Schizosaccharomyces pombe: one gene and its partner. The gene in region 1 interacts genetically with each later gene. Each region holds a gene or a part of one and is shown on either strand. Other genes may lie near its edges. The genes, in order: adn2 and SPOM_SPBC1778.03C.

Evidence for each region.
Region 2: mutations in adn2 (region 1) and SPOM_SPBC1778.03C together harm fitness more than expected from each alone (negative genetic interaction), as found in Schizosaccharomyces pombe (one large-scale study listed by BioGRID).

What each region holds. Positions count from the first base shown.
Region 1 is NC_003423.3:4,399,585-4,404,411, forward strand, and holds adn2 (transcription factor), read right to left. Parts: upstream 3,286-4,827; 5' UTR 3,264-3,285; coding exon 1,032-3,263; 3' UTR 799-1,031; downstream 1-798. Other genes in the region: TIM23 translocase complex subunit Tim21, read left to right, coding at 1-407. UniProt on the Schizosaccharomyces pombe protein: Probable transcriptional regulator involved in cell adhesion.
Region 2 is NC_003423.3:3,100,143-3,104,255, reverse strand, and holds SPOM_SPBC1778.03C (NADH pyrophosphatase), read left to right. Parts: upstream 1-1,892; 5' UTR 1,893-2,090; coding exon 2,091-2,122; intron 2,123-2,302; coding exon 2,303-3,401; 3' UTR 3,402-3,613; downstream 3,614-4,113. Other genes in the region: Spo4-Spo6 kinase complex regulatory subunit Spo6, read right to left, coding at 1-277, 324-456, 508-972; telomere-binding protein Rap1, read right to left, coding at 3,680-4,113. UniProt on the Schizosaccharomyces pombe protein: mRNA decapping enzyme that specifically removes the nicotinamide adenine dinucleotide (NAD) cap from a subset of mRNAs by hydrolyzing the diphosphate linkage to produce nicotinamide mononucleotide (NMN) and 5' monophosphate mRNA.

The DNA of each region.
Region 1 (4,827 bases):
CACTTGTCACTAGTATCTGGAAGGGCGAGGCACATTACGGTGATGAAGCTTTTGAACTTTTAAAGGCTAATGAAGAATGTCGATATGTTTTTGGAGATCACATGAAAGCCCTAGGTGAAGCCACGCATCCTCTTCGTCGAACTCATGGTATATTGACTAGTCGTGTGTGGGATCACCATGGTGTAGAACATCTAGTACTACAATTTCACTTAATCGGTAATGAGAGAAAAGGGCACGTATTTGGAAGACTTGTAAATGTTCAAGGTGACTATAAATGGGAATATCTTTTCGTTGATGTTGCAAATTACGGAAAAATCATAATTTTTGATCATACCAATTCTGTACGACAACAACATAAGAATTTTGGTTTATGGGGAAGCTTAAAAAATATTACATGGGGAAATTAGAATTTCCGAATGATAAACGCACGACGGAAAGGTATAGCTGTTAATTTCAACCGAAAAGGAAATCATTGAATTATTTCTCGATTTTAATGGTTTGATTAATGGTTTTTCGCAGAGAATTAATTTTCTAATTTACGAATTAATTTACAGGCGATGTTAATGATTTTTATCAGAATTAGCACACTTAGTTATGCAGTATTTGGATGTATATTGCAAAAAATAAAAAAATCGTCGACACTTTATTACTAATTAAGCGATCGAACCTCATGATTTGTTGTTTAATTAGTTAGTATAAAGAAGCGAATTTGTACGAGGGGCCTTTTCGCAGGGGCTGATTAATCGCCAATCTAATGTACTACCTAAATGTGTTTAGTTATAAAAAATATAAGAATGATTCAAAGCACATGAAATAATTTTGATTATTAGATATAAAGTACAAGATGTAGGCCGGTATTTATAACCGAGTACACTAATCCATATCCAACTAGCAATTAATTATATATTAAATTTTTATAATGACAAAACGCAACGCATTCAAAAAAGATGAAAAAATCTGGTATATAATTTCCAAATAAACAAATTAAAAAAGAAGAAAAACAAGGATAAAATACTTAAGTTTCGACAAAATTAAGCAGCAGTCGAGTCTTCATTATCCGGCAAATTAAACAATCCAAACCATAAATCGTCACCAGTACTAGTATCTTTTAAAAATTTGTCGAAGTCAAAATCATTTAGAAGAGCCGCATCGATGTCTGTTGAATTTCCAACATCCAATAATTGATTGTCTGAAGATTTAGTGGCAACTGTGGTAGACTCCGTAGGTGCAGAAGGAGTCGCGGAAGTATCAGGATTTGATTTTCCTGACTGATTTTGATTATCCAACTCAGAATCGGATTTGTGAACATTTGCTCCTTGCGATGGTTCCAAAGCAGGACCTACACTTGTTGCTTCATTTGTTGATGATTCGGGGTTGGTAGTGTTGACGGTCGGTGCTGGAGTTGGAGCATTTGAATTAGCAGAAGAAGGCTTTTGTTTTGATCGAACGTCCAATGGAGAACTGGCATTTGGAGTGGGTCGCGATGAATGAGTTTGTTGTAATTGCCAATTCCCCATAACGTCCATTCCATTGTCCGCATTATTTGTGTCAGAGGTAGATGAGTTTTCAATCAGATTAGAATAGTTTGATGGATGATCACCTGATGTACGTAAAGGAAGACCATTTTGTAACATAGGCATATTTGACTCATTGATGCCATTAAGATTTTCAGTAGTATTACTATTTTTTGTTGAGACCTTTACAGGAGATGTGGTGGCTTCTGTAGGAGTGTCAGTAGATTTAGGAGTAGTGCTTTTGGTTTTTGCAACACTAGATTCAGTAATAGTCTGAGAAAGCGGTCTATCAGGCGATGCCGATGTGTACCCTTTTCTTTCTTTTTCCTGACTAACTAACAGAAGCCTCTTTTTATTCTGTTGTTCTAGTAGCTTTAACTCCTCCATATAATTCTTGAGAGCTGGGTTTAGACGACTGGGGTTTGCGTTTCCGTTAAAATTATATAGCATATTTTGAGAGTAAGGAGAATTAGAGAATCCGTATTGGTTCATTTGATTTCCAGAAAATTGCCCAGTTGAAGGCTGTTGAGCAGGTTTAGGTTTGTCTAAAGATTTCTGTTGTTGAGGAAGGGTAGAAGAAGGTACTGCTCCTCCTTGTTTGAGATGTGGATTTCTGTTTGAAGCAAAATTTATCTCGTGAAGCAATGGTTGAGCAGAGTTTTGAACAACAGGGTATTGTCCTCCGTTAAGACCAGTGGTATCGTACAACGGATTCGACTGGGGAACGGAACCATTAGGAGTTGCCGGTAAACTAGGGCGAAATTGAGCATTAGATGGAGCACCTTCTGTTTTGGGTGAAGAAGGGATGGATCGAAAATCGGAAATTGGACCTTGCTGCTTAGGTGGATGTGTATCGTGAGTTGTAGGTTGAGAAGTCGTGTTTTGCATTTGTGGGGTAGAACCACTTTGTGGAGTTTTCTTTTGCTGGTGCTGCTTTTGTTGTTGTTGCACAGATTGTAGCTGCCTGTAGTGTAATTGTTTTAATTGTTGAAGTTGAGCAGCGGTCGGGGGAAACGTTTCACGGCTTTGATTATTTAGCATAGCTTGCCGCATTAAGTGCTGATTTCTATCGTTCAATCCACCTGCCCCTTGATGAAACTGAGATGAGTCAATCTGCTGACCCATTGCGTTGGCAGGATCATGGGGAAATGAGGCGTTTGCATAAGGGTGAGAAGTATTTCCAGTGTGTAGAGAGTTTTTTTGAATTTCTTGCAAATTTAAACGAGATTTCTTCCTAAGATTGCTAATATGAGACATATACGCCTTTGCCGGCTCAGATCCTTGACCCCGACGAGCATTGTAAATATCCCAAAAAACATTCCACCACTCGATTAAAAAACCACCAGCTGAATCGATAGGCAAAATAGGAGGTGGCGGCGGAGCAGAAGAAGAAGAAAAGGAATCTAAATTACCGTTATTTACATTCATGTTTTCATCCGAAGATTCATTATTACTTATACCTTCATGCTTTACAGCAACAGGAGACATTCTTTTGTGACGCTTAGCTAAGGAATTGGTTTCTTCTTGACTTCTGACGAGCGTTTGTACTTGTGCTTCACGGCCAAAAGCTCGGGCTGCCTCACAATAATCCTTCTTGATTAAATAATCATATATGTACGAATTCAGTAAGGATTGTGTGGTCCTATCGGCATTATTTACGTGCGGTTGTTTTTGATCTTTTTGTAAATCATGTTTCTGTCCTTGCTGGCTTGGCAATCCGACGCCGGACCTTAAACCTGGATCAGCCATAAACTAGAAATGTGCAGAAGTTAGGTGTTGCGAACGAGAATATGGATCTACAACGATGCACGCTGGCGATATATAATTTTAAAGATCTGCGCACGCTATACTACCGCAACATTTTGTATATCATATTTTCATTTTAGTTTTCTATCAATTACTGAAAATCATAAAATCATAAATGTTATGTTTGAATTTAGTTACAGAGTAAATCAAAACCCTTGAAGAGTAAAACTCTATAGAGGTTTCTTATTTTCCAAGGCAAGTCATGCTCTAAAAACATTTTTAATAATAGTTATTATGTATATATTCGGATTTGAATTATCTAAAATGGGCTATATTAAAATATGGTTCTAAGATGATATACTTTCAATGAATCAACCAGTGGTAATTTCAGATTTTATATATGCAAACTTACTAACTGAAAACTGTGGAATTAAGGGATAGGTGGGTTTAGAAAGTAAATGTAAATTGATATTTCTTCATCCGTAAAAACATCATAATGAATTAAGAATACTATTAGCCGCAGTTTTTTGTAAGAATGCTGTAATTATGTAGATAGTATCAATTATTCTTGTTTTATTTACCTTGCCTTGGAAAATATACATATCTACAGCTTTTTACATAAGTTAGCGATGTAAATACTAAGCACTGGAACTCATATTATCATTTTCTAAAGTTGTTAGAAATGCTTTTAGTAGTAAAGATTTTGGAATGTGTTCACTATTCGAAAACTAGTTGCAAATTGTGTTTTTCAGTAAATCAAGCAAGATGCTTAATTTTGGCACTACAAGTTTTTAGAAAGTACTTACATGAAGATTGGAAGCTTTGCGTAAATTTGTTTAGTTTCACATATTCCACATTTTAGTTTTCTATAATTCATTTTTTATCAAGTAGAAAATTTAGTTTCTCTCTTTCATTGCAAATGCTATAATCCGGCTTTAGAACTACTATCTACTGGATAATCCTTTATTATTGCCATGCTAGATTCCCTGTAGAATTATGGATTTTGATATTAATCAAAAATTAATTTCTTAAAGTACAAATATATTCGACGGGAGAAAGTTTATGAAATTTTGTATGCGGTTATACCTAATCAGTGATTATCTCGTTGTTTATATTTCAATTTTTGAGGCGACTAGAATAGACAATTCAGCCCAGAAAACCGTACATACAATTTTTAAGTAGAAAAATTTGTTAATAACTATACCCAAAAAAAATGTGATTACGCATCTTTAGCTAATGGCAAAATGCTTCTCAAGTGTTTTTGATGGTGGTAAAATCGAGATAGACTAGATATTAAAGCCGCTCGTTAAATATTATAAGACATTAATTGATACTAGTGTTTTTCCTCAAGCACAAACAAGGTCTGTATATAGTATACGGAATAGATATTTCTTACAATTTATTTATACTGTTTAAACGAATTTTAAATGGCTTCCATGAGAAGGGTAAATTTTTAGGGATTTTGCCTGTAATCAAAATGTTGTTCATATAAATTCTACTTTAAGTCCTGTTTATAGGAATGAGCTCATCATTCCTCGTTATTTGAACACCAAAGAAAAGTCCGATT
Region 2 (4,113 bases), 1.3 Mb from region 1:
CCTTGTGCGGTTATAGCAAGACTTGGCCATAAGATCTCTCCAGAATCCAATGTTTTCTCCCATTCTCGTACTGCAATTGGCTTATAGTATTGTGATAAATCTCTAATGCAGAGGAAGTATTCACGAAAGTACTCGACGTTTTTGCTTGGCACGTAAAAGTCTTTGTCTGATGTACCATACACTTTTTCACCGTCTAGGAGAGATTGCAAGCACGAAGCTGAGGTATTAACCAGGCTATCAGAGTTGAGTAATGTAAAGAGGATTCTGTTCAATAGTTCTAAGAAAGTTAGCGAAGGTTACACTGATATATTAAGAAGACTTACTGTCCAGGAGCCAAATTTTCATATTGGCAGTTTTCGAAAGGTAAAGTACATCATTCGGCTGGCACATTTCTGGGTCGGTAGTCCTGGTGGTAATGAAATGTGTAACTTCAAAAGTAAATAATGTTGCTACTTTCTATATATGTGTTAGTTTTGATCTGCGCAAGTTCTTGCATGAACTACTTACGGCTCCAAGATTATTAATCTTTTGCGTAACACGACGCTTGATTTCCTCATCAACGTTGTCAAAGTAAAATATAAAGTTGGGAAACGCCAATCGATAATCTCTTTGCCAGTAACGAAGTTTGGAAACTCGAATGCTGGTTCTTGGTATATCCTTGTTTCGCGTTAGGGAAGGTTTTACACAGTAGTTTGAAAAAGCAGTGGGTGGGAGAGCCATCTTTGCTGTGGCTTTAGCAGAGTCAAAGGCATTTTGATGAGGCATGTGCGTTTGTTGTTGAGGGTACCAGTCGGAGCATGAAGTTGCGCAAGCTGCAGTTTGACACAGTTCTTTGTCCGAAGTTTCTGTTTTATAGCTAAGAGGATTTTGAATATCTCTCTTTACTTCTTCGTTTATATTTTGTATACTGGGATTTTGGTCGACTAGAGGAGATCGAACAAACGGCTGAGACTTCACTGAATAGAAGTCCATACTCTTCCGGATTGACTCGGAAAGATTTTTAGGAAGAAGAAGTATGTATATATATTCCTTGGGAGGCTGATGAATTCACCTGTTGGTTAATCCTACTTATGTCTGGCTTTAATATTCAGCAATGGCCTCGGTAAGCAAGATGCAGGTTTTCCTCTAGAAGTAAAAAGATAAACCTATCTTTTTTTCTGTGGAAGTTTGGAGGAGTATCCTGGATATATATACAATTTGATTTTGTTTGTTTACTCAAATATTTTCTCATATTCACCTAGTATTGTTTGTAAACAAAAGCCTCGCCTCGCGTATTAAGCCAGTAAATTAAACGCGCGACACGTCGCGTTGCGTATCACATTCATACTAAATAAATAAGCTACTTTGGCTCCATTTGATAGTTTTGCTGGGTTCCTTTGTAAAAATTTTTTTAGTATTCATATGATTAGAAAATATATATTTACTTGATTCAAGCTTGTAAAATAAACATAGACCCAATTTTAAATAAATAGGTACCTAAAAGTCTAGGTAACATTGTTACACTGACACGTGAGAACTTTGTAGTTAATTAATCGTCAACATAACGAAAACAACTCAAAGCAATTCCCGTAACTGTCCATTTAGGAATTAACCAAAAAAACAAACAAACAAAATCTATTTTTATTCCAATGATACTTTTATGACTCACCAAGGCGTTAATAATTGCGAAAACACATACCAATATGTTTACAATTATTTTTTTAACGAAATTCGTTAAATACTTCATGGCATTTGAGAAGTTGTATGGCAATCGTATTTAACGGAGACTTTTTCATATTCAGTATCCCTTTTCATTTGGAACTTTAAGGTTTTCCCAGCTGAGAGTTCGTTTACATCATTTTATTAGATTTTTACTTGCAACTTGGGTTCGACTTTTAGTTCACTCATAAATTGTACCATTACCATTACGCTGGTGCATAAATAACCCTCCTTCTGGTCCTCTCTGTTCTTCATTTCCATCTTTCATTTTCTATTCTGCGTATTTTAACAGTTAAACAATTGTAGAATTTATTCGAGAGATTTGCAAAATTCTGTTTTAATAATTGGTTAGGTTTAATATTCTTTTCGTCTTTCAGAAATCAAGTTTAAGTATGCAGGGTTTCAAAATAGCTCGACATTTTGAGTAAGTAGTTAATTGTTAGTTCTATTTAAAGCTACTTCAAACTTGATAATTCATATCATCTGTTTTGCATGCTCATGGAACGTACCGCTCAACCCTTGCTAATACATGTGCAATGTAACACATAAAATCAATTTTTGATATAATAATCTTAAAAAAATGAGTTTTCTAACGTTTTTCAAGGCTTCCGACTGCCCCTTCTCAGTTCTTCGCAGGAAGCTCATTAAATAGGCTTTCGTTTCTTAGGTCTAATCGAGAATTTTTAAATAAAGCCTTTTATGATCATACCACTCGCTTTCTTCCTTTTTGTGACTTAAATCCGGCTCTACTCGTAAAGGACGATAAATTGGTCACTCTTTCATATCCTCAGATATCCAAATATTTCACGTTCTCCCCTTTTGAGCACACTGATAAACAAATTGCTGAACGATTTTCCAAAGGAGAAAGTTTACCTGTCCTTGTCTACATGGGCAACGAAGAAAGAAATGGACCAACAGATAATTGGAGTCAACACAACGTTTTTGCCATTGACATTACTGGCATCGATGAACTTCAGCAATCGATACGAGACAATGGAGGTACTTTCGTTAATCTTCGCTCTATCTTCACCGAACAATATCAATTGAGCGCATCGGATTCTGGTGCTTGTGCTTTTGCACGCTCTATTCTTGACTGGATTTCAAGGTACAGATTTTGCCCGGGTTGTGGAAAACGCAACATACCTACTATGGGCGGTACAAAATTGGTCTGCAGTGACGTTTTATTGAACGACGACTCAAACTGTCCTTCAAAGAAGGGTATTAATAATTACCAGTATCCTCGGACAGATCCATGCGTAATAATGGTTATATTGTCTCATGATATGCAACACATTTTACTTGGAAGAGCTTTGCGCCATCCGAAAGGACTGTATGCATGTCTGGCAGGCTTTCTGGAGCCAGGGGAAAGCTTGGAAGAGGCCGTTGTCCGTGAAACCTATGAAGAATCTGGAGTTGACGTAGAAAAGGTTTTATATTATGCTAGTCAACCCTGGCCTTTTCCTCAAAGTTTAATGTTGGCTTGTTTTGGAATTGCCCGAAAAAATGCTAAAATCCAGAGAGATAAAGACTTAGAATTAGAGGATGTGCGTTTTTTTTCCCGAGAGGAAGTTCTTCGTTCTTTGGAATGGGATGCCAAGGATGGACCTGCTCCAATTTTATTTCCCCCTAAACTATCCATCGCTAGAAATTTGATCCAAGCATTTGCATATGATGATTGGACAAATTCACAAGTTAAAATGTAAAGGAAGTTATAAAAATGGAAGTTTAGCTACTTTTCCAAAGATAATAAGTGAATTTTCTAAAAAGGTTGATTTACTCTGCTACATCAAAGCAAATATAATCGGCTCATCAGAATTGAAATATTCACACCTACTAAATCCAGAAACAAAAAGAATTTTGTTAAGTTCAATATAAAATATTTATATAATAAAATCATGAATTATGCATAAAAAGATTCGTAATATTGTACAAGTTTAGGTCTCTTTAGAGAAATAGAATTTGGGCAGAGATGCTCGGCAATTTAAGAAGTTTGTTTTGAAAGTAGTTTAGCAATGGCAATTCGTACTCTTCCACCCGTAGATTCCATAGCTTCAAGGAATTGTTGTTCTGTTGAATTTGTGTACCTTAAAATATTGTCGATCGCTTCATCAACCTCACGGTGATTTACTGACGACCTTAAAATAGAAACTTCATTTTGTAATTCATGCATTGCTAAGTTAATAAATTTTCCTTTCTCTTCACTGGGTACATGACCTGCAGGTAATGTAGTTACTTTTTCATTATTATCTGACGGTATGATTATAGTCGGACCGGTATGAGCTTCTTCGTTAACCATTCTGTATTTTTTCTGCTTTTTGGTAACCGGTTGCTGCATGTTCTCTTCCACTTTCTTATGAGAAGCTGCATTTCCTTCTAACGAAGTGTGAGCGACTTTTGTGGCACCAAAGCTTTCTG